4 linked regions of the Rhinolophus ferrumequinum genome follow. The protein of the gene in region 1 binds, or shares a complex with, the protein of each later gene. Links are inferred from orthologs where the notes say so. Each region holds a gene or a part of one and is shown in the gene's direction. Other genes may lie near its edges. The genes, in order: MEAF6, MORF4L1, MORF4L2 and KAT5.

Evidence for each region.
Region 2: MEAF6 (region 1) and MORF4L1 share a complex: the UniProt entries of both Homo sapiens proteins name them as parts of the nuA4 histone acetyltransferase complex. The link is inferred for Rhinolophus ferrumequinum from reciprocal best matches to the Homo sapiens genes MEAF6 and MORF4L1.
Region 3: MEAF6 (region 1) and MORF4L2 share a complex: the UniProt entries of both Homo sapiens proteins name them as parts of the nuA4 histone acetyltransferase complex. The link is inferred for Rhinolophus ferrumequinum from reciprocal best matches to the Homo sapiens genes MEAF6 and MORF4L2.
Region 4: MEAF6 (region 1) and KAT5 share a complex: the UniProt entries of both Homo sapiens proteins name them as parts of the nuA4 histone acetyltransferase complex. The link is inferred for Rhinolophus ferrumequinum from reciprocal best matches to the Homo sapiens genes MEAF6 and KAT5.

What each region holds. Positions count from the first base shown.
Region 1 is NC_046292.1:26,210,983-26,218,749, reverse strand, and holds the start of MEAF6 (chromatin modification-related protein MEAF6), read left to right. Parts: upstream 1-4,603; 5' UTR 4,604-4,666; coding exon 4,667-4,756; intron 4,757-5,931; coding exon 5,932-6,047; intron 6,048-7,767.
Region 2 is NC_046311.1:884,868-893,172, forward strand, and holds the start of MORF4L1 (mortality factor 4-like protein 1), read left to right. Parts: upstream 1-5,266; 5' UTR 5,267-5,414; coding exon 5,415-5,454; intron 5,455-8,305. UniProt on the Homo sapiens protein: Component of the NuA4 histone acetyltransferase (HAT) complex which is involved in transcriptional activation of select genes principally by acetylation of nucleosomal histones H4 and H2A.
Region 3 is NC_046284.1:51,249,546-51,257,289, forward strand, and holds the start of MORF4L2 (mortality factor 4-like protein 2), read left to right. Parts: upstream 1-4,358; 5' UTR 4,359-4,377; intron 4,378-5,473; exon of another isoform or gene 5,474-5,656; intron 5,657-7,042; 5' UTR 7,043-7,114; intron 7,115-7,744. UniProt on the Homo sapiens protein: Component of the NuA4 histone acetyltransferase complex which is involved in transcriptional activation of select genes principally by acetylation of nucleosomal histone H4 and H2A.
Region 4 is NC_046294.1:6,048,370-6,056,609, reverse strand, and holds the start of KAT5 (histone acetyltransferase KAT5), read left to right. Parts: upstream 1-4,920; 5' UTR 4,921-4,935; coding exon 4,936-5,113; intron 5,114-5,434; coding exon 5,435-5,503; intron 5,504-5,594; coding exon 5,595-5,731; intron 5,732-5,997; coding exon of another isoform or gene 5,998-6,024; coding exon 6,025-6,180; intron 6,181-6,269; coding exon 6,270-6,344; intron 6,345-6,441; coding exon 6,442-6,516; intron 6,517-6,831; coding exon 6,832-7,080; intron 7,081-7,155; coding exon 7,156-7,245; intron 7,246-8,240. UniProt on the Homo sapiens protein: Catalytic subunit of the NuA4 histone acetyltransferase complex, a multiprotein complex involved in transcriptional activation of select genes principally by acetylation of nucleosomal histones H2A and H4.

The sequences.
Region 1 (7,767 bases):
CATAAAACCTCTTTCTAGTCATCTAGTTCCCTCATTCTAATATTGACAAAGGACAGCTCATTAACTACAGCTGGTGATGTAACTTTCAAATACTTTTATTGTATCCTGGTGATAAGTAAAAGCACAATAATCAATTCAGACAACTGAAATTTAAAAAAAAAATTTGTATTGAGTATGTCAGTATACAATAGACATGTAGCTTGGTTTTAAAAGGCTTAGAACTTAACATTTTCAGATTGATTATTGATATTGTACTCAAATGGTGATATTTTTTAACATCCTTCCCTTTGTGGAAATCTGTGGATGTGAGGAATGAAATTATATTAATCAAAGCCTAAGTGTGACACACCACACACCAGCAATGACTGCTTGTGAGATGACGTTCTCAGACCACGATGGTCCTGGGTATGTGAATTTACATCAACTGAAAAGGCTACTTGATTGAAATGAAAGCTTTGGAATTGGAAGCTTCATTTGGTCTCCTAGGTGAAGTTTCCAGTATATTTATCAAATGGGAAACAATTTTAAGACAGTTAATTTGTTCACATGTACTCTAAAGTTTTACAGTGAATTAATTCACTAAATCAATAGTTGCATAAGCTTACCATGCTCGCATTTGATTTACAGCTGTGAGTTAGAAGCAGGGAGCAATAATTTAGAGGTGGGCTGCACCATGTGCAAGAGATGGCATTTAAGGTATGCCTTAGAAATGAAGTGGATTTTGCATCAGTAGAGGAGGGCATTGTTTCAGACTGAGCAGTCCAGGGGACAGCAGAGCTGGAGTGGAGGATGTGGAAAGGATCCTGTAACATTAAGTTGTTTACCTGAAGACCCACAGCAAATTAGTGGTAGAGCTAGGATGAGAACCCACCTCAGTCCTGGTTCAGTGGTCTTTCCTCTGGACTGTGGCTTCCCATCTCCCTAGCAGAGCTTAGTGAAGAGATCTGAGGAGGGAAAAGACAGCTGGTGCATTAGGCTGTCCATTCATAGGGGGTTCAAGGAAATCACAATGGCTGGGATTTCCAGGGATAATGAGGGGCTCAGGCAAATCCTCACCTCACCAAGTCATAGCCAGAGCTGCTTGGAAATCATTATGTTGATTCATAAAAGTAAACAAATGTTCAATAATCAGGTAGCTGAGAATTGCCATGAACTGAGACCTCAATGATAAAACTGGCTAAAACTTAGGCGTACTTTCTATGTATAAGGCATAGTTTTAAGCATTTTACATGTACATTGATGCATACCTTGATACCTTCACACTTCTTCCTCATAATCCTACGAGGCAGGCTTCTTTTATCATTTCATTTTGCCGATGCAAAAACTGAGGCACAGAGTTGTTCAAGTCACACAGTGGTAGGTAGGACCGGGATTCAAACCCAGTCACCCTGGTTCCAGATGCCACATGCTTAACCACTGTGATATACTGCTTCTTAGAGCCATGAGAGTTAACAAGATCTGGCCGTCAAAGAGCGATATAACCAGTGCTAGAGCTACAAACAGTGCTAGCGAGGAGAAGCAGTGGGGATTATGGAAGAGAATAAGTATAAGCACAGAGAATAAGCACAGAGAAATAGTATTCAACCAAGCCTTAGTCAGTTACTCAGAAGAGGCCAGTGGGGATGAGGAAAGAAAGGAATATGAATTTCTAGGCAGAGAGACTAGCACTCAGAAAGATCTGAAGTAACAAACTAATGAAACTTTGGAAGCACTTGAAGTTCAACAGGGAAAAAAGGGTGAGTGAGACTTCTTTCTGGTTTCTGAACCCTCCTGCTTGAAAGTAGCTAAAATTTCTGGATAAAATATAAGCAAAACAATTTCTTAAAGCATTCAAGAACCTACAAATTAATAAAACAGTTGTTAGGCAAAAAGTGAAGATAAATAAGAATCCAGAGAGAAATGGACTGTAGATGTCTGGAAGCCACATTTGGTCTAAAGGCAAACCACATTTGATTCTAGGAAATCAGATCTTACCCTAGCTTGAATGGGACAGAAATCAAAACCCAAAGCCCACAGGCAATAGTCTAATAGAACATGATTCCCACAAAAAGCTGGTCTATCAGAGGTCTATAACTTTTAGAATAAAAGAGTGGATCAGAAATTGAATCTTCCCAGGTATTTATAGCCTGGAAGCTCAGGAAACCTCGGGCCTTGAACTTGGTTTAGGATGACCCGGTGCCTCCAGGTGTCTGAAACAAATGAAATTCATCTTTGGAGGAAGGGACTTTTTTATCTCCCCTCTAGTTATTTCCACATTTCCCCCCAAAGATACAATTATTTTTATTAATGAACAAGAAAAGGCACTATAGGTGAGAAACAACAGAAATAACGGGTTGGCCCGGTGGCTCATGCTTCTAACTCCGAGGTCGCCGGTTCGATTCCCACATGGGCCAGTGAGCTGCGCCCTCTACAGCTAAGATTGTGAACAACGGCTCTCCCTGGAGCTGGGCTGCCATGAGTGGCCAGCAGCCAGCGTGAGCCGCTAGATGAAATGGACCAATTCTTCAAAAACCATAAACTACCAACATTTACCTGATAGGAAATAGATTATCTGAATAGTCGTACAGATATTAAAGAAATTGAACTTGTAATTAAAAAGCTTCTGAAAAGAAATATCCACACCCAAATGGTGGAAGAATTCTACCAAACATTACAAGAAGAATTAGCACCATAGTGTACCTTCTTTTCTAGAAATTAGAAAAACAGAAAATACCTCCCAACTTATTTTATAAGGCCGTTATTATTTTGATACCAAAGTCAGACAGGAAAGTACAGACCCTACACACCAATACCCCATGAACTTAGCCACAAAAATCCTCAGTAGAATATTAGCAAATTGAATCTAGCAATATATAAAAAGAATTACACAACATGGTCAAGTGGGGTTTATTCCAAATATGCAAGGCTGGTTCAACACTTGGAAACGAATCTGTGTAATCCACTACACCAAGAGGATAGAGAAGAAAAATCACAATCTGACAAAATTCAGATTCAGGAAAAGAATCTGACAAAATTCAATACCATTCATAATTAAAAACTGTCAGTAAACCAGGAATAGAGGCGAACTTCTCAACTCGATAAAGAGCATCTACAAAAACCTTACAGCTAACATCACACTTAATGGTGAAAGACACTACTTTCCTAAGACAGAGAAAAGGTTAAGGATGTCCACTCTGACCACTCTTATTCAACAGAGAACTGGAAGTCCCAGCCAGCACAGTAAGGAAAGGAAAGGAAATAAAAAGCACACGGGGTGGAAAAGAAAAAATACAACTGCCAATTTGAAGAGGAAATGATTATCTGTGTAAAACATCCCAAGGAATCTACAAAAACACCTCCTGAAACTAATAAGGGAGTTCAGCAAGATCCCAGGTTACAAGATCAACACACAAAAGAAATCCAGACTGTAGCAGAGAGAGACAAAAAAGATAGTGGGTAAACAAAATGAAGGATTATTATGTTTAATCTAGAAGGAGACAGAAAATGAGGCAGAGGCATTATCTGAAGGAAAAAAGCTGAGAATTTCCCAGAACTGGTGAAAGATACCAAACTATAGATTGTAGAAACCCAAAGACTTCCAAGTAAGGGGAAAAGGAAGAAACGAGGAAGGAAGGAAGGAAAAAGAAAGGAAGGAAGGAAAGAAGGAAGGAAGGAGAAAGGAAAAAAAGAGAAAAAAGAAGAAAAAAAATCCTATCGAGATTAACGATAGTGAAATTTACATAACTGAAAATTGGAGAGCGCTGAGGCTGGAGAAGCAGGGCCCAGGTGAAAACAGTGAAGGAGACTGCACTTAATGAATAAAGCTAACACTCACATAGTCCTTATTACTTGCTAAGCCCCTTTACAGACATAAAGTGATTTACTCCTCACAGCAATTGTATTAAGTAGGTACTATTATTACCTCCATTTTAGAGATAAGGAAGTTGAGACAGTGAAATTTGGTTACTTGCCCAAGGTGGCTCAGTTTATCAGTGGCAGCTAAGGTCGGATTTTGAACAAGGTAGTTCTGGCTTCGGTTTTCGTTCTTAACCACCACACATACAGTACTTGTCTCTCTAAAGGGCAATGAGAAGCCATTGAAATGTTGAAACCAGGGGAGCGACACATTCGTTTTCCAAAAACAAGTTATCCTGGCACCACTGTGGATGAGAGATTAAATGCAGTTTAAGTGTGGAAACAGGAATCTGTTGGAATAATGTAGCCAAAAATAGGGAAGGCCGGGATGCCCGAGGGAGATGGCAAACACAAGTAAATAGATTTGCGGGCTCTTCCAGGGTCCAGGGAACTTCGTTTTGTATGGGATGAAGGGGGTGAAGGAATGAGGCTGATGCCCAGGTTTTTGACTTGGGCAACTCGGCGGGCCGTTTAAGTCATTCGCTGATGTGACTTAGGAGGAGTCTGGTTTTGGCACGGTGAATTTGCAGCGCCTGGAAAAGTCAGCCGTCCCTGAGGGGCAGAAATGCCTGTAGTGCCAAGACTAGCAGATTGCCCCACCACCGCGGGCCTCCAGGTGAGCGCGCGCGGGACCGAGGCCCAGAGCGCCGCCAGGCCGCGTCTCCGGAAGCCGCGAGCGCAGGCGCAGTGCGGCGCGGGCGCCCCCTGGCGGGCGGCGGCGGGCAGGGACCGCCCCCACCACCCGGCGCCGCCGCTGCCGCCTCAGCCCAACATGGCGATGCACAACAAGGCGGCACCGCCGCAGATCCCGGACACCCGGCGGGAGCTGGCGGAGCTCGTGAAGAGGAAGCAGGAGCTGGCGGTGAGGGGCTAGCACCGGGGACGCACGGCGGAGGATCCGCGCCTGCCCCCACCTCCAGGCCCCAGCCCCGGCGCGCCAGGCCGTTAGGGCGCTGCGCGGCGGCCGACAGTCCGGCGGCCCGAGGCTGGGCTGCGCATTCCGCGGCTCGCCGGCGCCTCGGCTTCCTGGCTATGCGGGAGCCCGGGCCCCGAGGGCGGGGCGAGAAGCCAGGAAGAGGAAGGAAGACGGGGAAGGGGGACTAGGCGGGCGGGGGGCGTGGAGGAAGGATGGCGCGTGGGGCTGGGGTGCTTAGGTGTGGGAGCCGCAGAAAGGCAGTGTCCGTGAGCTTTGGGGGTGGGTGAGGGCGGGCGGGTTCGCAATCTTTGAGTGGGGGGGGCGGGCGTGTCGGTGGGCTGTAGGGGATTGGTTCGGGCTTGCCTGTGGGCTTTGGCGGGGTGGGGTAGGAGGCGTCTGTGGAAGGGGGACCCAGTCATCCAGTCTGGTCTTTGGAGGATGGAGGGGCGCATGTCCTTTTGGGAACTAGGAGTAGATCCATTGGATGGAATTTTTGATGGGCAGGGATGTGATGTGTTTGGGAATATCTAGAAGGTGACAGCCGAGGGGAGCGGATTCAATCTAGGGAATAGGAATGTGACCCAAGGTCTCATGCACCCTGGTGGCTAAGCCCTCCCTACCCCCCTGAGTCTTGGCTTGGGCACCTGGGAGGCTCATCTCACCTGAAGCTGCCCTTCCAAGTTTCCATAGCAACTGGCTGACCATTGCAGGCAGCCTTTTTGAGCCTGCGGGGAGGGGAGCGACTTGGCGCTGGAAGGCTACTCGCCCTTCCCTCCCCACTGGCATTACCTTTTATGAGTGGAGCCTGCCTGAGCTGGGGTTTTTGACAGCTGTGTTTCCATGAACCCTCTGAAGTATACACAAAATTTTGCATGTATGTACATTTTTCAGGGGACAGGCTCTCTATATTTCATTCTATTCTCAAAAGGATCCAACAAGACAGGTCTAGACTGTCTTAGTCTGAAACAGCTTGTCCCTTCACATACCATCTGTCTCTCCACAAGGGTAGTTGAGTGTAGTTGTGCTTGAGTTTCTAAGTCTAATATTAAGGTTTCAGTTTGGTCAGACTTAATGTTTGCATTTAAAAGGCATTATCCGTTTCCCTGTTTTTCATCTCTCAGGAAACACTGGCAAACTTGGAGAGACAAATCTATGCTTTTGAAGGAAGCTACCTGGAAGACACTCAGATGTATGGCAATATTATTCGTGGCTGGGATAGGTATCTGACCAATCAAAAGTGAGTGTCAGAAAGAGTACAGTGTTTGTACTGTGACCTACTAATACTTGTTTTTAATGCTGTATATATTGGTGGCAACTTTGCAGGGAGGCAGAACTAAGTAGCAGTGTGGAAAGAGGTTTGCGCTTGAACTTTGCACTCTGGCTCAGCCTCGCTGAGTCATCCTAGACAAAGCCTACATCCATAGACTGGTCGATAGTACAGGGGTGTGAGAAGCTGAAATGAAATACAGCCTATCCTACCTTACACAACAGCATTCTCTTAGTGTCTTCCACATTTTAAGCAGTCATGAGTTCCACCGTCACAATATTTGCCAGACCTGTGTGCCAACCCTACCACTATTTATTTAGTGCTATTAGTCTTGAAAACTTTCTAAACTTTTTGAAATTTTTAAAATCTATAGAAAAATGGAAAGAATAGTACATGAACACTTGAAACCCTTCGCCGACATTCACCGATTAACTTGCTGCATTTACTTTCTTGCTCTTTTCTCTTTTTCCTCACTATTATATAAACACACATACCTGTATTTACATTTTAAAAACATTTTGTTTAAATTTTGAAATCATTATAGATACGTAGGAAATTACAAAAATACTACAGAGAGGTCCCATGAACCCTTCACCCAGTTTTCCCCAGTGGTTTTTGTGTAACTATAGTACAATATCAAAACCAGGAAATGAACGAGTACAATGTGTGTGTGTAGTTCTGTCATTTTATCATTGTGTATAGATTCCTATAACCACCACTGCAATCAAGATGCAAAACTGTTCCATCACCACAAAGATCTGTTATGCTACCCTACCCCTGTGTGATTGTATCTCCCTTTTGCCCTATACTTTGGGTTTTTTTTTTCCCTAAACCATTTAAAAGTTAGAAACAGATATCATGACACATTGTCCCTAATTATGTCAGCAATTATCTCCTAAGAATAAGAACATTTTTCTTAGTTAACCACAGTTATCATGTCTAGAAAATTAGCACTACATTAAAAGTATCTTCTAACACACAGTGTTTATTCACATTTCCCTAATTGTCCCCAACATGCTTTGCTACCTTGTTTTGATCCAGTCAAAGTTTTTCATTGCATTGATGTTTCTTTGGTTTCTTAATAAGAGCGTCTTCCACCCTTTTTGTTGGTGAAGTTGTGGTTTACAACATTGTCTTGTAGATTGTCCCAATTCTAGATTTTTCTTACTGTGACCTCATGAGCGATCCTTTAAACATTTTTGGCAGAAATGTTGCATTAGTGATTTGTGTACCTCTTGTTTACCTTTATTTTATTAGGCAGCACATAATGTCAGATTGCCCCATTATTGGTGCTGCTAAGTTTGATGATATGATTTCTCCATTATGAAAGCTTATTTTTTCTCTTTGTAATTGACAAGTAATTTTGGAGCTTATACTTTTAGACAGTGGGAATATATTGCTCCCCACAAATTTTATTCACTGGTTTTATTATACATTGTTGATTCCTACCTGAATCAGTTATTATACTGGAGGTTGCAAAATGGTGGTTCTAATTTTACTGTTCCTTTTACATTTATTACTGGTATTCTGAAAGAAGAGCCTTCCCCTTTTATCTTCTCTCCCTTTCATTCTATCTCTGTCTCTCTTTAGTATCACTATAGACTCGTGGATTTATTTTTAAATCGGTGTTGGGATCTAGTGCTGTCACTTTTTTATTGTTGAGGTTTTATTTTTTAGTATAAATTAATTT
Region 2 (8,305 bases), on another chromosome or scaffold:
TGGTAGTATTTCATCTCTTACCGCCGAATAGTATTCCATTGTGTATATATACCACAACTTCTTTACCATTCATCTATCGAAGGACATTTTGATTGTTTCCATGTCTTGGCCACCGTAAATAAAGCTGCAATGAACACTGGAGCACATATGTCCTTTATGGATAAATGTTTTCAGATTTTTTGGGTAGATACCCAGGAGAGGATTGCTGGGTCATATGGTAATTTCATTTTTACTTTTTGAGGAACCTCCACACTGCCTTCTATAGCGGCTGCACCAGTCTGCATTCCCACCAACAGTGTATAGAGGTTCCTTTTTCTCCTCCACAGCCTCTCCAACACTTGTTACTATTTGTCTTGTTATGATAGCCATTCTGACTGGGGTGAGGTGATATCTCGTTGGGTTTTTATTTGCATTTCTCTGATGATTAGTGATATTGAGCATTTTTTCATATCTCTATTTGCCATTTGTATGTCCTCTTTGGAGAAATGTCTCTTCAGGTCCTCTGCCCATTTTTCAGTTGGGTTGTTTGTTTTTTTGTTATTGAGTTGTATGAGTTCCTTGTAGATTTTTGGATATTAGCACCTATCGGAGGCATTGTTTGCAAAACCTTCTCCCATTCATTGGTTGCCTCTTTATTTTGTCCATGGTTTCTTTTGCTGTGCAGAGCTTTTAAGTTTGATATAGTGCATTCATTTATTTTAGCTTTTACTTCCCTTGCCTTTGGAGTCAAATTCATAAAATGCTCTTTGAACCCAAGGTCCATAAGTTTAGTACCTATGTTTTCTTCTATGCAGGTTTTTTGGTGTCAGGTCTTATGCTTAGGTCTTTGATCCATTTTGAATTAATTTTGGTACATGGTGACAGATAGCAGTCCAGTTTCATTCTTTTGCACGTGGGTTTCCAGTTCTCCCAGAACCATTTATGGAAGAGCTTTCTTTTCTCCATTATAAGTTTTTTGCTTCTTTGTCAAAAATTGTCCATATTTATGTGGTTTTATTTTCTGGGTTCTCAATTCTATTCCATTGGCTTGTGTGTCTGTTTTTCTGCCAACACCATACTGTTTTGATTATTGTTGCCCTGTAGTACAAGCTGAAGTCAGGGAGTGTGATACCTCCAGCATTGTTCTTTTTTTGTTAGGCTTGCTTTGGCTATTCAGGGTCTTTTGTGGTTCCATAAAATCTGATGATTTTTTTGTTCTATTTCTTTTAAAAATTCCATTGGAATTTTGATGGGATTGCATTAAATCTGTATATTGCTTTGGGTAATATGGCCAATTTAACTATGTTGGTTCTTCCAATCCATGAGCACGGAACGTCTTTGCATTTCTTTGCTACATGGTATTTTCAATTGATTTCAGAGCCTGCTTTAGCTTTTGAATCATCGTCTATTGTGTGAACAACAGGGCACGGCCGAGTAGAACACCGTCGGGCCCTAGAAAAACCCCAGGAACCTCAAAGCCACACGGGCCGAGAAGGCCCCTTTTCAGCCGTGTTCTGGTCTCCAGTCTTCTCTGCTGATGGCGCAGGCATTCCTGCTTGTGCATCGGGCACACGGGTGTCGGGCACCCTAGGTCCGCGCCACAGGCGTGTACTTCGCCCCGGGATCTCGGGGTGAACTGGCTGTTCCCGCTGGCGTCTGGTCTTGGCGGGGGTCTGGGACCACCTGCACCCGCCGCTGCGCCGCGACCGCTAGAGGGCCGTTTGTGCCTTTTCTGAACAGTAAGTTTGTGCGCGCAGAACCAGGCATGGAACGCACATTTGGAAGTAGTGAAAAACTTTACTGAAAACAATTATTAAAAAAAAAAAAAAAAAAGATGCAAAAAGTCAGTTTCAGAGCAAGTTAAAATAATCTTATTCCTTTGAAGTGAGCTAGGAATGGCACATTTCCTGACTGCCCGGCTAGCTCAGTCGGTAGAGCATGGGACTCTTAATCCCAGGGTCGTGGGTTCGAGCCCCACGTTGGGCGGCGGTTCGTTCAGTTTTGTTTTCCAGCTGCATTTTAGGTCTCGTCAGCGGTAATCATTTTTTACCAGCTTCAGTTCTCGTCAATGGTAATAACGGACTTCAATCTGGAGTCTATTTTCAAACAACACAGGACAAAAAACTACTAAGATTGAACAGATTAAAAGAGGGAACCGTGCAACTATAAGGCGATTTCATCTTATAAATACACAGTTAAAGGCTATCTGGTGTAGAGAAATATTTGTCACCGGGTGGTCTATTGAAGGACAGTGGAGTGCCAAAGGTCAGGGAATAAGAAGACAGGAAAAATAGTGAAACCGTGGCGTTCCTAAATATTGCGGAAGTGATCTCTGTCAAAACGTTTGAAATGTGTTTTTAACTTAATACTGTGAGATATTGAAGGTTAATTTGGAGATCAGCTCTACTTCACAGGATTCACTGTGCATATTAATTTCACATTTGTAAATTCCTTTAAGTAAGGACTAGTGATTATTATGGGCTGTTTAAACCACTGTAATATTGTGTTAGTTAGCTAGTCAGGTGGCTCTTGTGAACAGAACCTTAGGACTTTTTTATCCTTTGTTTTCCCTAAGTTAGTAATTCAAACTGAAGAATTTTCCCTTGGCCATTTTTGTCTTAAAACATATCTCAAAACAAGTAATTATATTTTCCTACATGTTTTCCTAAAAGAACTCAATTTCTTGTGGCAAAACTTTGCTTTTAGGTTAACACCTGCAAATTCTTTCCTTGTCTTATTTTCCATCATTCTCAGTAATTGTCAAGCATTCTCCACAATTACCATATGTTATTATCATCAATTCAAACACAATTTTAGACTTTGGAAGAAAGACATGGAAATTTTCAGCATCAAAAATGAAGATCCCTAAGTACCCCTATTACAGAGTAGTCCTTCATCGCTAGGTGATGGGAGGTGAAGTAGAAACTTTCTGAAGGCAACCCATGGCAGAGAGACGCCAGCTGGTGAGAGGTCAGGGAAGATGTCACATATCCATTTCACGTTGAAGACCAGCATTATGGGTTGAATCGTGTCCTCTTAAAATTCGTATGTAGGATTCCTAACCTCTAGGGCTTCAGAATGTGACCTTATTTGGAAATAAGTTTGTTGTAGATGTAATTAGTTAGATGTGGTCATAGTGGAGTAGAATGGGCTCTTAATCCAGTTTGACTGTTGTCTTTATATAAAGGGGAAATTTGGAGACAGACACACAGGAGAACGCCATGTGAGGATGAAGGCAGAGATTGGGGTGATGCTTCTACAAGCCAAGGAAACCAGAGATGGCCAGCAACCATGGAAGTGGGGAGAGGCACGGAACAGCGTCAGCCTCACAGTGGTCAGATGGAACCAACCCTGCCAACACCTTGACTTTGGACTTGTAGTCTCCAGAATTGTGAGGCAATACATTTGTTGTGTAAGTCACTCAGTTTGTGGAACTCTGTTATGATAGCCCCAGAAAACAGATCTTGTTACTGGTGCTAGGTTCCTTGCCCCTCTCAGGGTAGAAATCAAGAGAGTGGATGAAATAGTTTTGCAGAGAGAAAGGTTTATTAAAGCGAAAGCTTGATGTACAAAGGGAGCAGACTCCAAGAGAGAATGGATGTGGCTCCCTGAGGTTTACAGATACAGCAGGTTTCTAGGCTCTTGGGGTTGGGAGTCACCCCTTCCTCTCTCTCCCTCCCCGCCAAAGTTTGTTGAGGTGGGTCCTTTCCTGCGCCTGTGCAGTATACCTACAAGCGCTACTTCATTGCAAGTTTCATCTTAAATCTCCGCCTTAAGGTTTTTTTTTAATGTGATAATGAGGAAAAGTTAACTATACCGACAGCTCTTTAGTGTGCATGTGCTACTTTAGAAACTTTCCCTGGGCCGCTCATCTCTCCTGCGATTTTGGTTTTGTTATCTCCTTGTTTCTTGTTGGCCGTCCCTGTGGCTCAAGGATTTTCTCTTCAGGTGTAGGCTCGGCCACGTGACCACCCTACGTGATCACCAACTACAATATAATCAGTGTTCTAGTGGGTGGCAATTTTGATTGTAATGTTTTTTTCCTTATTAAGTAATTGTTATCTCCATTTCATTTAATTTCAAAAGCCTTGGGAAAAGCACTGGTTTTGTTTCGATGTTGGGGGAATGGGTGGGTAAAGGACTGAGGTGGGAAAGAAACTTTTCATTGTCTTCATTTTTATATTTTTAAAATTATGGATTATTGAATTTGAATTATTTTGAAGTATTTTGTGTTCAAAAGAAGAGGTGTACGGGGCAGTTTTGGTGCGGTGGGTGGGGTCACAAAGAGGCCCTTGCCTCTTCCGTTGATACTCTGCGGACTAGGACAGACAAGATGGTGTGTAGACAACTGGAATGAGGGTTCTTTGTGGGTGTTCAAAGAAGGGCTTGTGTTAGGAGGAAGACTGAAGGAGAAATAGGAGTCAGAGAAATGGAGAGAGGTCTGCAAGTAGTGGGGTGCTCAGCCGTTCGGGGAGTTGAGGGAAGCCATGGAGATAAGCTGAAGGCCTGGGGGGATGTCGAGGGCCTTTGGTGGAATGCCTTTGAGGCTTGTCCTCCTTCACGTTTGTCGAGCGAGGAATTCACTGTTAGGCACTCAGCCTTTTTGTGCAATTCTCACAATAAGTCGATTCGGCAGCTGAGCAACCTAAGGCCTTTTGAATGTGTGGTCAGCCGTTCACGATGTGTGTGTACATTCAGTAATAGCTCACAGAAACTTGACAAAAGGCTGCGCACGTGGGGCGGTGGGCACCCGACTCGGAGGAGGGTGTTACAGGTCGTTATTCACCTCGGCCTACTGGGAAGGCAGGTAGCGCGCCATCGTCTCCTGCCTCCCGCCGGGTGGGCTCTTCAAGCCACGCGCGGGCTGGCAGCGAGCTCGCAGATTGTGGCCGGACCGCGGGTCCCCAACGCTGCCACACGCACGCGGATACCCCTAGAGATGCCGTCGGAAGTACTGAAAGTGTTTAGACGCATCTTTCCTCGTAGGCCTTTCATGCCACATCCTGCTGGCCCGTGTCGCCCGTGGGGTTGCACACTGGGTCTTTCCAGCTCGTTTTCGCTGGCGAGGGACCGCCTCCAGCACCGCGCCCCAACACTGCCCCGAATCAGTCCGGGTTTCACCCACCCGGGTTGCGGGGCTGGGGGATGAGGGATGGGGGATGGGAGGAGCCCCTCCCCGCCCGCTCAACGGCTGGAACTACCACTTCCAGCATGCCCCGGGCGGCGCGGCGCAGGGCGCGTGCGCGGTGGGCGGTGGTTGGCAGGCGCGGCTGCGCAGTCGCGGCTGTGTGAGGTGTGCAGGCGCCGGCAAATCGCGCCCGGGATCTAGAGCTGGCGCTGCCCACGGCGTCTGACGCGGAGCTGGGTGGGCTGGAGAGTGGGGGGCGGTAGTGCGAGTGGTGGGAGAAGGAGGAGGCGGCGGCGAATCCCTATAAATGGCGCCGAAGCAGGACCCGAAGCCTAAATTCCAGGAGGGTGAGTCTGGGCCTTGGGAGAGGCATCTAACGGCGGCGGGGCGGGCGGGCGCGGCGGGGCGGTGGCGCGGAGGGGCCGAGCGGGGCTTCGTGCAGAAGCGCATTGCGGCGCGGCTTTGGGCGCGGCCCGGGCGCAGCGCTTTGTGAGGCGAAGGCGCTCGGCGGGCGCGGCGGAGCCTCCCTCAGCGTGTGTTGTGTGGGGGCGGCGGCGGGAGGGACGGGCGCCATGGCGGCGCGGAGGCGGCGATGTGGCGGGAGGGGCGCGGGCCCCCGCGGGGCGGACAACGGCTGGCGCTCGGGGTCGCCTCGGGCCCGGGGCGGCGGCGTTGGCTGGAGGCGCCGAGCCGCGGCGGGGCGGGCGGGGCGCCCGGGCTGGGGAGAGCCGCGCCGTGAAATGGCCGCCGCAAGATGGCCGCCGGCGTCGCCCTGCGCCCGCCTCCGCGGGGCGGCGGCGGCGGCGGCGGCTTTGTGCTGCCTGCAGGCAGCGCTTGGCGGCCCGGCGGTCGAGTGCGCTCTCGCCGGGCGGCTGCTCGTGAAGAGAAAGCCGCTCGGATGGTGTGTTACGAGGCGTCTGTTCACGAACCCTGGTGCCCTCGCGTCATCCTTCCAGTCCGCAGTGGACTCACGGCGGTGGCGTTTGACTAACTGGTTAGGAAGCTGAGTGAGTTTGGATTAATTGGCTTTTGATCGACGAGGTTTTGGGCTGACGGCAGAACCTGCCCTGCAGCGGAAGACAGCCCTTTGAGTTCACGATTAACGCGTCCGTTACCGTGTGTTCAAGTGGAGACGTCATAGGAAAGGAAAATGGAAGCAGAGACCTGTAAACAAGCAGGGACGCTCTGAAACGTACCTCGTTGCTGTGGATGTGCGAGCTGCTTGAGCACAGATGTCGAGACGGCCGCAAAACAATGTCTTTTGTTGTAGGGGTTTTCAAACTTGCGTGTGTTTTAGAATTACTTTTAGAGTCCTATGTCCAAAGCCCAAGTATTTTGTAACTTTATGGAATATTTAAGAGGTTTTTAAGGGTATTTTTGATAACGATGGGCTCCTAATAGCCGCTTTCTCCTACCTTGAGAAGCTGGGACTACCTCCTATGGGTATATATATATATATATTTTTTTACTTGTTATTTTAGAGCAGGATTCTTATTCTAGTGGATGTAATTCAGAAGATTCGTGAACTTGGACGGGAACATTTTTTTATTGTCTAACTGAAAATTATTTCAATTAGGAATATAGCCCCCCCACACACACACCAAAAAAAACCCGTGCGGTGGGATTGTTACAATTCCTGCCTCTAGCCGTCTGCCTCAGTATTAGCAATATGTTTTCATATCGCAACGTTACCGTTGCAGAAGGTACATTCAGTGTCATTTATGTTCCTCATTACTTCAAAATTATGCTAGTTACTGGATCAGTAGCTAAATGTTTACTATATCAGTTGAGCTCACGTAATACAGAAAATGATATTTAAAATGTTTTGCTAACTATTTCAATATAGTTGGTTTCCTGTCATACTCTGTGTTTATGTATTTATAATAACATTCTGGAAAAAAGGCCCATATGCTTCACCAGATCGTCAAGGGTCGATGATACAAAAAGTTAATCCCTAGTTTAGGACATCAAAGGAGGAAAATCACTGAGGATTGGAATTGTCGGGTAACTTTCTGAGGAGGAAGTGCTTTAGTTCTGAAGTAGGGGGATGGCAGCGTGAGGGGAATAACAGCAAATGAGTCCGTGTGCTGCAATAGTGGTGAATTAGAGAAGAGTGGAAACCAGGGTTCCCTTAGGTTTTTGAAAGCTACCTAAGAGAGTCTGCCTTTACTATCACTTTACAGATGTGTTTTCTTCTCCTGTCAAAGCTGAGTTGTATAATAACCATCGTTAAGAAATTATCATTATTTATATGACATGTTCAGAGGATATGTCGTAAGGAAAAAGGAATGTTATGTTAGTGCTGACAATTGTAATAGAACACTGCAGAAGAATTGAGATTATGTAATGGCGGAAATATGAATTATTAGAAGTATGTTTTTCATGATTCCTTTATTTTTTTTTATTAGAAGTATGTTTTTCATGATTCCTTTCTTTTTTTTTTTCCATGATTCCTTTAAAAACTCATTTTTTTCTCATTTAAACAATGGTGCAACTTACGTTATATAAGCAATTTTTAAAAGCACATTTTTTTTGCACTTGGTCTTCCACTTGAAATTCTGTTAAAGCATATGGTAAAGAAACTCGAGCACCTGGCCCATTGTCAAAGGGAAGGCCCTTTGCCTTGTGTCAGGAATTAAGAGACTGGCTAATGCTGGCCTTTGAGTTCCTAGTAAGCACAAACCAGTGGGCGAAAGGGGGTTTGGAATCTTAATTAACCTTGAATTTGAGAGCATTGGGCAGAATTACCTTTGTAGTTTGATACTAAAAAGGATTAAGAGTGGAGAAAGGTTTTTTTTAAAAAAAAAACAACATCTAATACGTGGTTTTCCTCTTTCTCCCGCAATTACCAGTCTTTCTTTTTACTACTTCATGAAAATCAGGCATATGTTGTCCTGGATCATAACTCTTCAGCCAGCCTATATTTTTCAACAGAAGATTTAGGGCCATGTAGCTAGAATGGAGGCCAAAGGGCTTAAGCCCAGTGCATTTGGTGGCGGCAGCCAAAAGGATGGTGAGGAGGAAGGCCATTTTCAGGGTGCTTTTAAAGTGTACCTGGAGAGGAGCTATGAGCCACAGATCTGAGCTTTGGTGCTGCTGTTTATTAGCTTATTTACATCCCCATGGTCTCCTTGCTCACAATATTCAACGGTGGCTCTAGCCCAGCTCTCTCCTGAGCCCCAGATGCGTACGCAAGTG
Region 3 (7,744 bases), on another chromosome or scaffold:
TAAGATACGCAAAGCCAGCAGATACTGATGGCCAGGGAAGGTTGCACCCTGCACAAGATTACCCAACTGAAATGGAACAAGTGGAGGTTGAAATTCATTCTTCAGCTGCCCTGGTGAAGCTCCAACATCCCTGAGAAGGAAAAGTATTTTTCTCATTGTTCCACTGATCATTTGTTTGCACAATATCTGCCCCCCAGGTGTCACATGCTTCTGATCAGCACAAAGGGATTGAATGAGCAAATGTGGCCTCGAAAAGTGACATAGAGATCTTGGAGCCACTGAATGTTCTGTAAAGGCTGGGGCTGTAAATAGTCTTGTTCAGGCCTTGAAGCCAAACAAACATTGACTTACGCTATCTTTCCCTTCCAGTTGAAGCAGATTGTGAAGACAGTGGTTCAGCTGTAAATTCCAAAGAAGAGTTAACTCCCATTTTGAGGACCCACTAAGAGTCAGGAATCTGCTGAAGCTTCATCCCACTAGTAAGTGGAAGGGACAGGAGAGTATTCACATTTGAGACGGTAACATGGCACAATGGGACAAAAACATGGGCTTGGGAGTCAGAGAGAAGTCAGAATCTTTGTTCTGACATTTATTAGCTGGCAACTTGGAGTGAGCATTTAACTTCTCTGGGCTTCAGTGAGGATTCACTAAGACAATCGATGTAAAGAGCTGAGCAGTGCTGCCTGGCACATACCTAGAAGACATTCAGCTGTGTCTTTTCCTGCTACTACCCTGACTCGGAAGTTAATTCACATTATTCACACCCTTGGCCTTGAGACCTCAGTCAGTAGAGCACAAGGATGAGTCTACTAGACAGAATATGGAAGCGAGAGTCAGGAGATTTGGGTCCTAATGGCAGACGCATCCCCGTTATAGTACCTTGGGTAAGTTACTCCCCTCTCCTGACCCTATCAATAAAACCGGAGAACCTGCCTAGCTCTGATGCTGAAAGGAAAGATCAGGGAATCACTTTTCTTGGGCACATGCCATGAATATGCACTATGCTAGGCCCTTTTACATACCTTATATAGTCTAAATCAGCACTGTTCCATAGAACTTTCTGTCATGGTGGGAATGTTCTTTATCTCTTGGTATCTAATATGGTACCATTGGGGAGGAGGAGAATCCCCCACTTTTACCCTTCTTTAGTTCTTACAGCTGGACCAACAGTAAAATAATAAAATTGACACAAGACTAGATTTACAGGGAAAAAAAACAATTTAATACGTGCACACGAGAGAATCACAATATGATGCTCAGGTCACAAAACAAGGCTCAAAAGGAAGTCAAATATATGGTGACAGAAGGAGACCTGACTTTGAATGGTGAACACACAATGCAATATATAGATAATGTATTATAGCATTGTACACTTGAAACCTATATAATTTTATTAACCAATGTCACCCCAATAAGTTTAATTAAAAAATTATCAAACTAGGCACCTTTTTATTTTTTTAGACAAAGAAACAATAATTCTGTGAGCAATGAACAAGACAAAGAAAGTTAGTGCTCATTAGAAAGGAATCTAAGCAGTTTGGGCTTAAGTAGTAAATTAGTAAAGGATTCACAAAGTTTGTTTATATAGGCTTTTTTGATTCTGGATTTTATAACTCTTGTGATAAGGTTGTCTGTTAGCCCTCAGGAGAAGGGAGAGCACCTATTACATGGAGATTTATTTCCTGCTTTTGGAGAGTCAGAGAGCTCCTCCTGCTCCTGCTGCTTCTCAAGTGATTTCAATTTGAAATAATCAATATGCCATTGTGAGCTATCTTGGGGAGGCCTGCCCAGGGACCCGCCAGTACTAACACTAGCCATAAGTAGCTACTGAGCCCTTGAAATGTAGTTAGTGCAACTGAGGAACTGAATTTTTAATTTTAATTCAAATTTAAGTACCCATATGTCTAGTGGCTACCATGTTGGATACTGCAGCTCTAAGATTATGAGGAATAATTATTCCCACTTAATATACAGTGAAACTAAGGCTCAGGAAAGTTAAAGAACTTGTTGGAAGTCACATAAATATTAAGTAACTAAATGTGGGGACAGAGCCCCAAAAAGCAGTTTCCAGGCTCTCGGCCTCACATAGAAAGGTGCTGGCTCAGGTAGTAAATGGCCATTGACTGTGATCAAATGGCCAGCAGCTGTGGCTAGTTGGCCATCAGCTGTAACCAGTGAGCCATTAGCCATGAATATAACTGCCGTGGCTAGGCTAGTAGCAAAAAGAGAAAATGGGGGCTAGCAAGAAGATGGTGGCTGAGCCTGCAAGCGGCACAGTGAGGGTTGAGAATTGTGTTGCTCCTGGTTCCTGTGTCTCCAACCCAGCCGCCAGTGAGAGTATAGTGGTGTGACTCCCCTACCTATGGCTCCGTGGGTGTTCCTTTTTGGCCTAGCCATATCCTGCGTTCTTGTGTGGGGAGCGGGACCAGAGACCCCGCTGGACTCTGCGCACGACACTAAATCACATTGAAAACCAAGCAGTAGAAAGTTTAGCAGGGTAGTACTGTCAGATATACCAGGAATTACCCGGGCTCTATTTCTTACAAGTTATATGACCAAAGAAAAATAATTATAGGCTCTGGGGCTCACCTTCATGATCTATAAAATGATGAAAATCCTTACCTAATTTACAGGCCTATTGTTGGGATTAATGGGCACAGAGCCATATAGTGTGGCCCATAATAGGCTTGCAACAACTGTGTTTCCTCACCACCCTGATTCCCCACACACACATAGGAGAGGTTCAGAAATAAACTAAAAAAGATAACTGCAGGGTAGAGAGCATTTGGGAAATATAAAAGCAAGAAGGGAAACACATGAGCTTTAATGTGATAGTATAGAATGGAGATGAGGGAAAGTATGAAATCATTAAAATATTTCCATTTATTTAGTTTGCTTTCCTGCCCCCTTCTTGATGCTCCAGTCAACATAGCTAAAGCAGAGAACAAGGTATCTGTAATGTATTTTAAGGCCCAGAAAGATAAGCTATGATGGCTGAACAAAAGAGTACTGTCAAGGGCTTGGGCTCGAGAAACAGGTGAAATTCTTATCCTGGTTCCCATAGTTGTATGCACTGAGAAAATAATTTGACACCTCTACACATTAGTTTTTAATCTGTATAACGGGACTGATAATATGCAGGGTATCTCAATAAAACATATATCATTTATTATTTTGCTTTAAATTCTGTAGCACCCTCTAGTGGAGCAAAGAAAAATAAGCACTGCATCTCTGCCCTCCAAAGCGGTGGTTCTAAATTCAGTGTGCATTGCAATCACCCAAACAGATTGTTATAACAGCGACAGCCAAACCCTACCCCTAGAATTTCTAATCCACTAGGTTTGAGATGGGGCCCGAGAATCTGAATCTGACAACTTCTCGAAAAGTGATAATGATGGTACTGACGTGTTTGGGAAACACACTGAGAACCACTGCTCTAAATCCCGCCTCCCTCCCAGTGTGTGTGCGCGTGTGCGAGCGCGCGCGCGCGCATGATTGATAACTGAAAGAGGTATAACTTTTGTTGTTCGATTTTGATTTATTACCCATCTAATAAGGATTTTGTGAAGAATAAAATAACATATATGTAAAGGATATGACACAGCATCTAAAATATGGAAAGCATGCAAAAACCTAAGGAACACAGAACATAAATCGTTTGCCCGGGCTTCTCAGAGCTAGTAAGTGGTGCAATGGGGTTTAAAATTAGGTCTCTGACTCCAAAGACGTAATAAAGTTTAGCAGTACCACTACAGAAAATAGGGCGCAAACACACATATCTAATAAAAATTTCAAGAGGAAGAGAAGGTCAGTTTTCAATGCCAGGGTCCAAGCTCTTATCTGTCTTTACTGACTAACCAGCCACCTGTTATTTTCTGGGGTTTCTTTTTTTTTTTGGGGGGGGGGGACGGGATATTGAGCATTTGAAAAAGTGCACAGAAAGGTTAGGATCTTCATCAGCGTTAGTGTCTGGTGACATTCATCAATTCTTACCGTCCCCCCTCCCCCAAAAGAAAAGGCAAAGAAGGAAGAAGAGAGGGATGGAAGGGGGGCTTTTTTTAAGGAGGAAAGAAATGAAAAAACCTTTAGATCTAGGGCCATAGTCCCCTGTCTAGAGCTATTTATAAAAGCTAATTTGATTTTCCCTAGCAATGAAAGATATACATGATCCCTATAGATTGAAGAGTTCAGAAATCAGAAAGGGGGAGAATAAAAATCCCATCATTCCAGGGACCAAATAGGCAATTCTTTGCTGGGATTTGGCGGCACCTCGTGGCAGACTCAAGAGGTATAACCCTCACCCAGAGAACTTTCTGGAAAATTAACTGAGTGCGTACTTGCTTAAAGGGCACTGTGCTTGGAGATCAGGACAAAAAGGTGAGAGCTTCCGCCGCCACAGAAATTCGGAGCTCGTAGTGGAGGGGAAGCCTATCGTATAGATATTTTCAGCAGAAAATTTTGTTTGTGCCAGAAAAATTACACGGAATTGGGGGGGGGGGGTTCGGGGAAGAAGTGGAAGAACGATACTAGCAAACAGGAAAAGCTGCTCCTTGGAATTGCTAATATGGGAATGCGTGGGTTTGTTTGGCTCTTAACCATCGGAGGGCTACGGTTTAGAAAAGGATTGTGGCCGGAAAAAGTGAGAAGTACATTTTTTAGGGTCTAAAATTGAATCGATAGGGGAGACCGAAATATTTCTAACAAAGGCCCGTTATTTATGATGGGCGCCGTGGCTTGTTTTCCTTTTCATTAGAACAATTTTCAAACATAAGAAAATGTTCAGTATAGAGCACGCACACGCGCCGCGCACGCACACGCACGCAGGCACATCCTCGCTCTGGGACACACCGGCCCCGACTCTAGGCGCGCACGCTTGCGCATACCCACCGCGTCCAGCGCCACGAGGGCTGGAGCGCACGCACCCCAATCCCAAGACCACGCGAGCTCGTCCGCGCACATCCACACTAGCCCCACCACCACGCGCCCGCACGCCCACCACCCCCGTTGTGCCTCTTTTTCTCCAAGAGTTGCGCAAGTGGTTCAGGGGCGTGGCCCCAGATTTGACCTCGCGCTTCCCCACTCGCGGGAACCTTAGCTCATTTCCGCCCATCCTGTTTCCGCAGGCCACGTAGACACTTCCTTTCCCAGTGGGGGGAATGAAAACCCATAATGCCTCCCTGCAAAAAAAAAAAAAAAAAAAGAAAAAAAGAACCTCTGGTCAGGGGAACTCTGGGTCGTGAAAATAGGCCACGTGAACACCCTGCCCTATAGACTTATGACCCAACTACAGTTGCGATTTTGGAGGGTGGGCTCAGAACCTAAGAGGGTGAACGTTATTGGCCAGAGCCGCACTACAGGGAGAAGATGATTGGTTTGCGTCAAGTCTTAACCATGAAGAAGCAGGTTGCTAGCACCCCCTTATACTGCGGCGAAGTGTCATTGTGACGTGATTGGCCTCGTCCAATCATTTGGTCATGGAACATTCTAAAACTTAGACAAGACGACTGTGATTGGCTGAAGGTCATGAGCCCGCCTCCAGGGTGACGTGTCTGCCTATGGATATCAGTTGCCAGAGAAACCTGGCTTTACTATGGCGGTTCGAGGGACGGCAGTGAGCACACGTCGGCTGCTGGAAAGAGCTGGATTCTCGTTTCAGGTTTCGGGGTGGGGGTGGGGAGAAAGGGTTGACGATTTCCTCTTCTCGTCGAGTATCTAGGCAAGATTAACTCATGGCTTCACGATCGGGCAGAGCTGGATTCAGATTCCTACTCGCCAACGCCCAGCTCGGGCTGGCTCCTTTCTGTGTCTCGGTTTCCATGTTTGTAAAATGGTGATAATAATAGTATCTACCTCAGAGACGTGTACCTCAGAGGCGTGTACTATGTATATTAGTGCGTATAAAGCACTTAATGGGAAGCCTGGCTCCGAAAGATGTTAACTGTTATTGTGGACAGAAAAACCTGCGTAACAGAATGAGAAAAAAACAAATTATGTAAATTTGCTCATTATAGTGCTTTTCCTGCCCATCAACTTATTCCCTAGAAGAAACTAGAGATATAAGAGAAACATAACTATCTTTATTGGTGAAATAATATGCTATTTGGGAATTACCTCAAAATAGCGGGGATGGGAATTTTCCATATTGAAAAGTTTAAAAAAAGGGGGGAGGGGGAGAAAGATGGAGAACGAGGGCGAGCTGGAGATGAACCACATGCGATGAGTAGGCCTTGTTTGGATCCTGATTCAAACACACCAACTGTAAAAAAAAAAAAATGTTTAAGATGCATCGGGAAAATTTGAATACGTATTCGATATTTGATGTGTTTTTAAGGAATGGGTGTTGATTTTTTAAGACGTCATAATGGTATTGTGGTTATGTTTTCAAACTGTCTCTATCTTACAGAGATATATACGAAAATGCGGATTAAATAATAAAATGTCTGCGATTTGCTTCAAAATACGTTGATGACTAGGATTTGCTTCAAAATAATCTCAGCAATAGGGGGAAGTTGGGGGGGTATAGATGAAACAAAATTGGCTCTTAAGTTAATCGTTTAAGCTGGGTGATAGGCATATAGAGTTCCTTATATTGTTCTGTCTTCCTTGGTATGTGTTGGAAATTTCCCATAAAATACAGAAACTCAGTTATTTGGTGAGCTTAAAAACGGAGTTGGGGGGAGCAGTGGGTGGGGTTATGGATGAAACAAGATGGCTTTCAGTTGGTAATTGTTGAAGCTAGATGATAGATTCTTGTGGGTTTATAATATTCCTTCTACATAATTTCAGATATTATGCATTTCACATTTTCCCTAATGAAAAGTAAAAACCAAAAGCGAAAACAAATTACTTTATCAAAAATCAGGATAGATACAATAAATTTGAAAATGTAACCACAAGAACTGAAAAAGAAACACTTGTACATTATTTATCAGCTTTGGTGCCCTTTGTGTGTGATAAAATGCATTGATTGACAGAGAAGAAAACCATCATCTCATATCTCTTTATTTTGTGCCCTTTCCCGTCCCCTTGTTTAACCTTCTAGGCCATTATCAGAAAAGCTAAGTTTGCTGTATAATAAGGATCAGAAGATCTGATCCTGATTACAGAATCTTAGGTAAGTGTCTCCCTTCTCCTGGCCTCAGTTCTCAAGCAAGATCATTCCACATAACCTTCTTAACTGTCCAGGAATATTTTAAAGATTAATAAGCGTCTATCTGGGAAATCACTCTAAATTCTGAGTAGGGTGGAGCTGAGTCCATTGGTGCTTCCAGTATATAAAGTGCCTAAAAAACAGAGGACTGTGTAATTTTACATTCCTTGATAAAAGATACTACAATTGATCCCTGATAGTTCCATACATCCATATATTGTTTTTCTTACTTTGTGGCATCCCATATGCAGCATAATTTAGTGATTAAGAGCAAATGCTGACTTACTGAATTTAAATTAAATCTTGGCTCTGCCACTTAGCTGTATGATCCTAGGCAAGATACTTACTTTGTCCCTAAATTTCCTCAAAAGTAAAATAAAGATAATAATAGTTCCTACATATAAAGTATCAGGACAGTGTTTGACACGTGTTTGCTTTAATAATAATTATGGCTCTATTAGTCCTTCTGGTATATCCTGTTTTACATACATACACACTTCTAAAAGCAGTGGATGCCTCTTTTTGGAATTGTAAAAAAGTTAATACTGTTGGTTTCTCCCCTGATTTTCCAGAAGCAGCACTTACTACTAGAAC
Region 4 (8,240 bases), on another chromosome or scaffold:
GCGCGCGTTACAGCAAAGCCATTCGCCAGAGGCGGAAATGCGACGCGCGCGCCCGCCGCCGCGTCACTGCCGGGAAGCAGCCGCGCCTGCGCGCCTCGCCGTCGCCGCCGCCGCCGCCGCCGCTGCCGCTGCCGCCGCCGCCCCCTGTGGGGCCGGGAACCACTGGGCGCTGCGCCAAGGACGGAGAGGCAGCGTGCACGCTGCTGCCGGAGACCGGCAGCAAGTGCGCCTTTCCAGAGACCGAGTCGGTCCGGAGGCCGCTGGCCGGGAGGCTCGGCTTGCTTCTGGGTCTGGGCCCCGCCTGGAGGGCGGACCCGGCGATTACTCACAATGTTTTTAGGGGATTTCGGGGCCCCCTCCCGCCAATCAGAGGAGTTTGGTGATGTCACCCGGGCCGGGTCTGGAGCAAACCTACGACTGCTGGGCTCCTGCCGCCAGCCCTGCTCAGGGAAAGGCCCGTGCCTACTCCGTCTTTGGCCGAGTGACTGAATTTCACAGTTTCCTAATCGCTAAAAGGTGTCTTTTGGTGATTGTCGCCGCAGAAGTACTTTTTAAATTTCCCATCCACACTAATTTAGATGCAGCGGAGGGAAAAGGGAAGGGCCCGGACCTCTTCACATGGCGGTGCTTTGGTCACTGGGCTAAGCGTGTCCTGCTGCACGCAAGGGGCGACAGAAGCTCCGTACTGCGTCCGCTATCGCGGGCGGACCGGGCCGAGAGCTTCTCGCTTCCAACTCAAACACCAGTTTAAGGTGCATCACACTGCCGGCCCTCGGTGGCAATGGGTTAAGCATAAGGCGCCCAGGGGTATATCAACTGGAGCCTCGTCTCTGCCACCTGACGCCTGTTATCTGAGAAGGTCCGGAACCCCCAGGGGCCGCTTAGAACTCGCCGTGTCTCGCCGCCGCACCCCACGCCGCCCGTCGTCTCCCTAGGACCTCCTGCAAGGGACCAGCCGTCGGCTAAACCATTTCCACTGATTAACTGTCATGTGATTCCTCAGGGGGATATTGTCCCCAAGTTCAAGCCCTAGGCGGCGTTCGTGCGGGATGAGGGTGGAGGCTGGGGCTGGAGCACCCTCCACCCCCGACCGGTTCCTCATCCCAGAATGAGGATGCTCCATCGCAGGCGGTGGAGCCTTCTCCAGATGGAAAAAGACTTTATTTTCTCTGAATTCGTTCTAAATTAAGGAATCTTATGGGAATTGGAAAAGATTGGAAATTCTGACTTGCTTTACCAGGCTCTGAAAAAACAGGAAAAGAAAAGTGAAAATAGTTACCACCCCTCCCACTCATTTCAGTTTCTCCTGTGGCTGGCCAGGATTAGGAAAGTCAGTTTACTTTTTTGAGGAGGCTGACTTTTCAAGTCCACAGAATGGGTTACTTATAATCTTTGGTTAATGACACACAATCATCATTGATCCTTGCATGATCCTCTTTTAAAAAATTCATATATATTTGTAACAAATCAATAAATTGAATTGTTGTGCTGACTGTAAAACTCAAGGGGCTGAATAGGACACCACCAGAACTTACATCTATCTCGGTGCTCCACATCTGTCCATCCCCTCATCCCGGTGTCCAGGGCACCACCATCTAGAATTCTCTGTTTGTTATTCCCTTGACGTTTTTTTTTAAAGAAAAAAAATTTACTCATATACATGGCTACACAAATATGTTGCTTGGTTTCGCTTACTTTTGAACTTCTATGAAGAGAGTATCTTGTTTTTTGTTACTTGCTTTTCTCACTCAACATATTACTAAGGTTTATGTTTCATAGTTCATTCACTTTTTACTGCTACATACTATTCTGTTGTGTAAATACACCGCAGGTTATTTATTTATTCATCCTGCGGATGGCCATTTGGACTTCCAGTTTTCACTATTACAAGCAGTGTGGTTAAGAACATTCCTGTGACTGTCTCCTGTTGTACATGTATCCAGGAGTTTTCTTCAGTATATACCTAAAAGTGATTTATTAGGGTATAGAATTTCCCATTATCAATTTTCAAAATAATGCCTTGGTTCTCTAGCATCCTCCAAAATTTAATGCATGCATTTTAAAAAAGTCTTAATGCATGGATTTAAACACTTGATATGCTTTAATCTGTTTTAATTATTCTTATTGAAGTTCAAATTGTTCCATCTTTGGCCACTGGGAACCTTCTGAAGTTGGTTCTTCGGTCCTTTTGACACAATTCCAATAGTGTCCAAGATCTGGAATCAGACAGCTTTCTGAGGAATTCTGATTCCTTTTACTGGGAAATGGTATTTAGAGACCACAGTCTGAGTTCTAGGGATACTTATTGCTAGTGGGTCAATCATTATGGACCTTTTCAGTGAACAGTTAGGCAATATATATGAGTATGTATATTTTTATATGAAATGCACCAGGAATTCATACTCATATCTCCTTTTCAAGTTTAGGACTACAGGGTTTTAACTTAACCTCAATCATCTTACATATTCTCTCATGTCAAAAAAATCTCAATTCTCTTTTTACAGAAATAGAAAAATCCATCCTTAAGTACATATGGAACCTTGAGGGACCCTGAATAACCAAAACAATCTTGAAAAAGAAGAACAAAGTTGGAGGAGTCACACTTCCTGATTTCAAAACTTACTACAAAGCTACAGTAATCAAAACAATGTGGTACTGGCATAAAGATAGACATATAGACCAATGAAACAGAATAGAGAGCCCAAAAATAAACCCTCACATACATGGTTGAATGATTTTTGGCAAGAGTGCCAAGACTGTTCAATGAAGACAGTCTTTTCAACAAATGGTGCTAGGAAACCTGGCTAGCCACAAGCAAAGGAATGAAGTTGGACCCTTACCTAACACCATATACAAAAACTAACTCAAAATGGATTGAAGAGGGGCAGCCAGTTGGCTGAGTTGGTTAGAGCACAGTGCTCATAACACCAACATCGCCGGTTCAATTCCCACATGGACCAGTGAGCTGTGCCCTCCACAACTGGATTGAAAACGACTTAACTTGAAGCTGATGGGTTCTGGAAAAACACAGTGTTCCCCAACATTCCTCTTAAAACATACATACATACGTACATACATACATATATAGATGTAGCCGGCCCGGTGGCTCAGGTGGTTGGAGCTCTGTGCTCCTAACACCGAAGGCTGCCGGTTTGATTCCCACATGGGCCAGTGGGCTCTCAACCATAAGGTTGCTGGTTCGACTCCCGCAAGGGATGGTGGGCTGCGCCCCCTGCAACTAACAACGGCAACTGGACGTGGAGCTGAACTGTGCCCTCCACAACTAAGATTGAAAGGACAACAACTTGACTTGGAAAAAGCCCTGGAAGTACACGCTGTTCCCCAATAAAGTCCTGTTCCCCTTCCCCAATAAAATCTTAAAGAAAAACAAAACAAACAAACAAAGAAAAAAACAATAGCTAACAGGCAACTAGTTATGGCAGCTAAGGTGCATCTAAATAACGAAACACTATGTAGCCATTAAAACTGTGCTGTAGAATATTTAATGACTAGTGTTCAATTTATGTTGCTAAGTGAAAAAGCTGGTCACAAAACAGTATATACAGGAAGAACCTATTTTTGTATTCAAAAGATAGCACAATAGTTTATAGAGCAGGGGGTGGCCAACATTCTCTGTAAAGGGCCAGATAGTATTTTAGGCTTTGTATTTCAGACACAATTATTCAATTTTAGTGTGAAAGCAGTCATAGACAAAAAGTAAATGAATCAAAAGTATGGCTATGCTCCAATACAACTATATGTGGACACTGAACTTTGAATTTCGTAATTTTTATTTGTTGTGAAATATTCTTTTGTTTTCTTAACCATTAAAAAATACAAAACCATTCTTAGCTCACTGGCTGTAGGAAAACTAGCAAAGGATTGGATTTGGCCTGCAGGCCTTAGTTTGCCCACCCCTAGTTTACAGGACATTCTACCAAAATGTTCATGGTGGAAATGTCCCCCATGATGATCTGAGGTTATTTTCTCCCCCTACTGTGGTCTAGTTTTCTGAAACAGTACTCCGCCCCACGTCCCCTGCACCCCCAACTATTTGCAAGGCTCTTCCGTTGTTCCCTCTCTAAATCTTTCCTTAAGTATATACACTTCCATCAGTCCTGCCCTCAGCACCCTATTTAAAATTGCAACCAACCTGCCCATCTCCTTTACCTTGTTCATTCTTTTTGGTTTCTCCAATCACTTTTGAATAAACTAAGTAATTTACTTTTTAATATATTTACTTTTGTTATATAAACCCAACCCCCAACAATGTAAGCTCTATGAGAGCAGGGTTCTATTTTATTCACTGATGTATTCCAAGATCCTAGAACAGTGCCTGGCACACGTTACATTATTAAACATTTGTTCAATGTATGAATGAATAATGTTGTATTACTTTTATAGTGAGAAACCTAATACAGAAAACAATCTAGAAACCTTCCGTGAGTCCCCATCCTTAACGAATGAAATCCACAAACTTGGCCAGGCATTGAACTCCCTTCATAGTCCCGCCCACTTCTCCAGACCCGCCCCCCCCCGCCCCCGCGAGCACTCGCAGTTCACAGCGAGTGACCTCTCCCACCGCCACTTAGAGACGCTGGAATCCCGCCACCCCCAAAGCACAAACACTACGCCCACGTGACCCGCGCTGCGTCCACGTGACCGGCGTCGCACCCGGTGGGCGTCACGTGACAGACTCAGCTTTCCTCCAATCGTTGTGCCCGTTATGGAGATTCCTCCCAGGACCCAACCCGAGACTTAAAACACCCTATTTTCCCGTCCCCCAAACAGGTCGGTTCCCCGCTTCCAGCTGGGCGGCGGTGTATTTCAAGGGTCTCTTCTAAGGCGGTGTCCGGTGGTCCGGGCCTACTGCACACTCAGTCCCGGAAGTGACGTCTCCCAGAGGGGCCGGAAGTGTCAGTGGAGGGAGGGAAGATGGCGGAGGTGGTGAGTCCGGTGCCCGGGGCGGGGCGGAGGGAGCCAGGGGAGGTGGGTAGAGCCCGAGGCCCCCCAGTAGCCGACCCTGGCGCCGCGCTGTCTCCCCAGGGGGAGATAATCGAAGGTTGCCGCCTGCCGGTGCTGCGGCGGAACCAGGACAACGAAGATGAGTGGCGTGAGTGACGTCGGGGGGCGGGGCTAAGAACCTGAGGGCGAGGGGCGGGAGTCAACCGAACCCTTGGGAGGGGGAGGGGCTTCGAGAATTCTGGGGCAGGCGGGGCGCAGATACTCAGGAGGGGCGTGGCTTTTAGCCACTCCGAGATGGACAGGGCGGAGCGTGGAGAGGGGTTGGCACTGGGTGACTAAAGGGGGCTTGGGTGATAGCTTCCAAGTGCTGGGGCTTAGAGATCAGGCCTGGGGGTGGAGTTCAGGTCTTAGGAAGGTGGAGCCTCATGGCCTGGCGGGTCTAACGCCCCTGCCTATGCTGTTCCCACAGCCCTGGCCGAGATCCTGAGCGTGAAGGACATTAGTGGCCGGAAGCTTTTCTACGTACATTACATTGACTGTGAGTGCTGGGCCAGGGTGAGGAGGGGCTGCAGGGTAGGGTTGGGAGGCAGTCTCTGGCATTGCTTCCTGAGACATCCCCACTGCTGCAGTCAACAAACGCCTGGATGAATGGGTGACCCACGAAAGGCTGGACCTGAAGAAGATCCAATTCCCCAAGAAAGAGGCCAAGACCCCCACCAAGAACGGACTTCCTGGGTCCCGCCCCGGCTCTCCAGAGAGAGAGGTGGTGAGTAGGTCCCCTACTTCACCTCTTCTCTTCTGCCTCCTACTTCTCTCATCTTTTGGCCTCAGTGGCTCCTGGATGGGCTGGAGCAGGCCACACCCTCCCACCCTGGCTTCAGCTTGTAAAGAATGGGGGCCAAGTTGCAGATGTAGCTTCTAGAGTCCAGCGGCTATTCCTGTGTCCTTGAGAGGGCAGCGGGTGGGGTTTGATCACTCCATGCTGAGGAGCCCCTATTCCCCTTCCCCATCCTACCACCATCCCCACCCCAGAGGAAGACCCTGGACCTATCTCTACAGCCGGCCTCCACCCAGGCCAGCGGGAAGACCTTGCCAATCCCGGTCCAGATCACACTCCGCTTCAACCTGCCCAAGGAGCGGGAGGCCATTCCCGGTGGCGAGCCCGACCAGCCGCTCTCCTCCAGCTCCTGCCTGCAGCCCAACCACCGCTCAACGGTACCCTCAGCAATTCCAGGGACCTTGCTTTCCTCTCAGGTCCCACCTTCTCTACCTTCTGACCCACCTTTCTTGGTTTCTCTCTGCAGAAACGGAAGGTGGAGGTGGTTTCACCAGCAACTCCAGTGCCCAGCGAGACAGCCCCAGCCTCAGTTTTTCCCCAGGTGAGTCCTCCAAACCATCTCTTTCTTCTACCTCCCGGTAGCCCCTTTCAGACTCACCTCACAGCCACCCTTTCTGTTCCTACCATCTCACCTACAGAATGGATCAGCCCGTAGGGCAGTTGCAGCGCAGCCAGGACGGAAGCGAAAATCAAATTGCTTGGGCACTGATGAGGTAGGTCTGGGGAAGAGGGAAGCTGGATGAAAAGGAGGAGAGGTGGGCGGGGTGGCAAGTTTAGTGGCTAGTTTAAAAATAAGGAGTGTTGGGCAGCCATGGTGTTGCTGGGATTGGGAGCCAGGCAGAGCTGGTTCAGATCGGTCATTGGGTGATCTTTCCCAAGTTTTGAATGAAAACTTTCCATGTCTTGCATTCTTTATCTGGAAAGTGGGAACTATAGTACTTCCCTCGAAGGTTAGGCTTGAACAAGGAAACGTGTGGGGGAGCTGTAGTGTTTCCCGTAACACGGTGTCTTCCACTGGCCCTGAGCAGGACTCCCAGGACAGCTCAGATGGAATTCCATCAGCCCCGCGCATGACTGGGAGCCTGGTGTCCGACCGGAGCCACGACGACATCGTCACCCGGATGAAGAACATTGAGTGCATCGAGCTGGGCCGGCACCGCCTCAAGCCGTGGTACTTCTCCCCGTACCCACAGGAGCTCACCACGTTGCCCGTCCTCTATCTCTGCGAGTTCTGTCTCAAGTATGGCCGTAGCCTCAAGTGTCTGCAGCGCCACTTGGTATGAGGGGTCCCAGGAGGCCACCCTCCTAGCACCCCCACCCTGCCCCACCCCTGACCTTTCTCTCTTCCTCAGACCAAGTGTGACCTGCGACATCCTCCAGGCAATGAGATTTACCGCAAGGGCACCATCTCCTTCTTTGAGATCGATGGACGCAAGAACAAGGTCAGTGGCTGAAGGACAATAGGGAAATCTTGGAGCTGGGGTTCGGGGAAAGTCAAATGAGCACCTTGTTCCTATTCAGGAAAACACTGAACAGTCTGGCCAGCAGATCAGTTCACCCATTTTTATTGAGTTCTTGCTGTAGGGCAGGTGCTGGGAGGTATAGACAACCAGGAATTGGATAAAATCTCTGCTGAGAGCTCACAGTCCATAGGGAAAATAGACGTGCCAACAGTGTGATAAATGTCATGAAACAAAGGGTGGCTTGTTAGGACCCAGAGGAGCTAGTCATCAAAGCTTCACAGAGAAGGTGACTTATGAGCCTTGACATAAAGAATAAGGTGGGCAAGGGAGTCCCAAGCAGTGGGGTCCTGAAGGGCAGGCGTGGATGTACAGGTGGTGTGACAGGCAAAGACCCTTCTGGCTGAAGGGCAGAGAGAAAGAGGCAAGGCTGTTAGAAGGGACAGAGCTCAAGTGGTGGGTGGGAATGGCAGTTGGAGAGGAGCTGGGAACACCATAGGCTTGGCGCTTCAAACCTGCCTTAGTCTATGGCTGTGGAGAGGAAGGAGTAATCTGGAGGGACCCTTAAGAGAGACTTTCCTCATTCCTGGGGTCCAGAGGGTGCTGGGGGAGAGGCAGGCATCTTGACTGGCGGGGGAGAGCTCTGGCTTGGGTGCTGGGGGAGCTTGAGAGGAAGTTGCTGCTTTAACTGCTGGTTCTATATTATAAGTGGGGACTTGGGCGTCCAAGTGACAGTGCCCAGCAGGTGGTTAAGGAGCCATGTCTGGTGCAGGAACAATTGTGTTTAGAGGTAAAGGAGCAAAAAGAATTCTCCTGGGGGAACTCCTAAGGCTGATATTTTGTTAAATTCCAGAATTTTTCACCTCAGTTGTAGACTACTAGGTCAGTTTTCAAGACGTGTGACCGTGTTGTATTTTTTCACAGCCAGAGTCCTAAGATTGTCACCTGGGCAGACTTCTCTCATAAGCCTTCGTCGG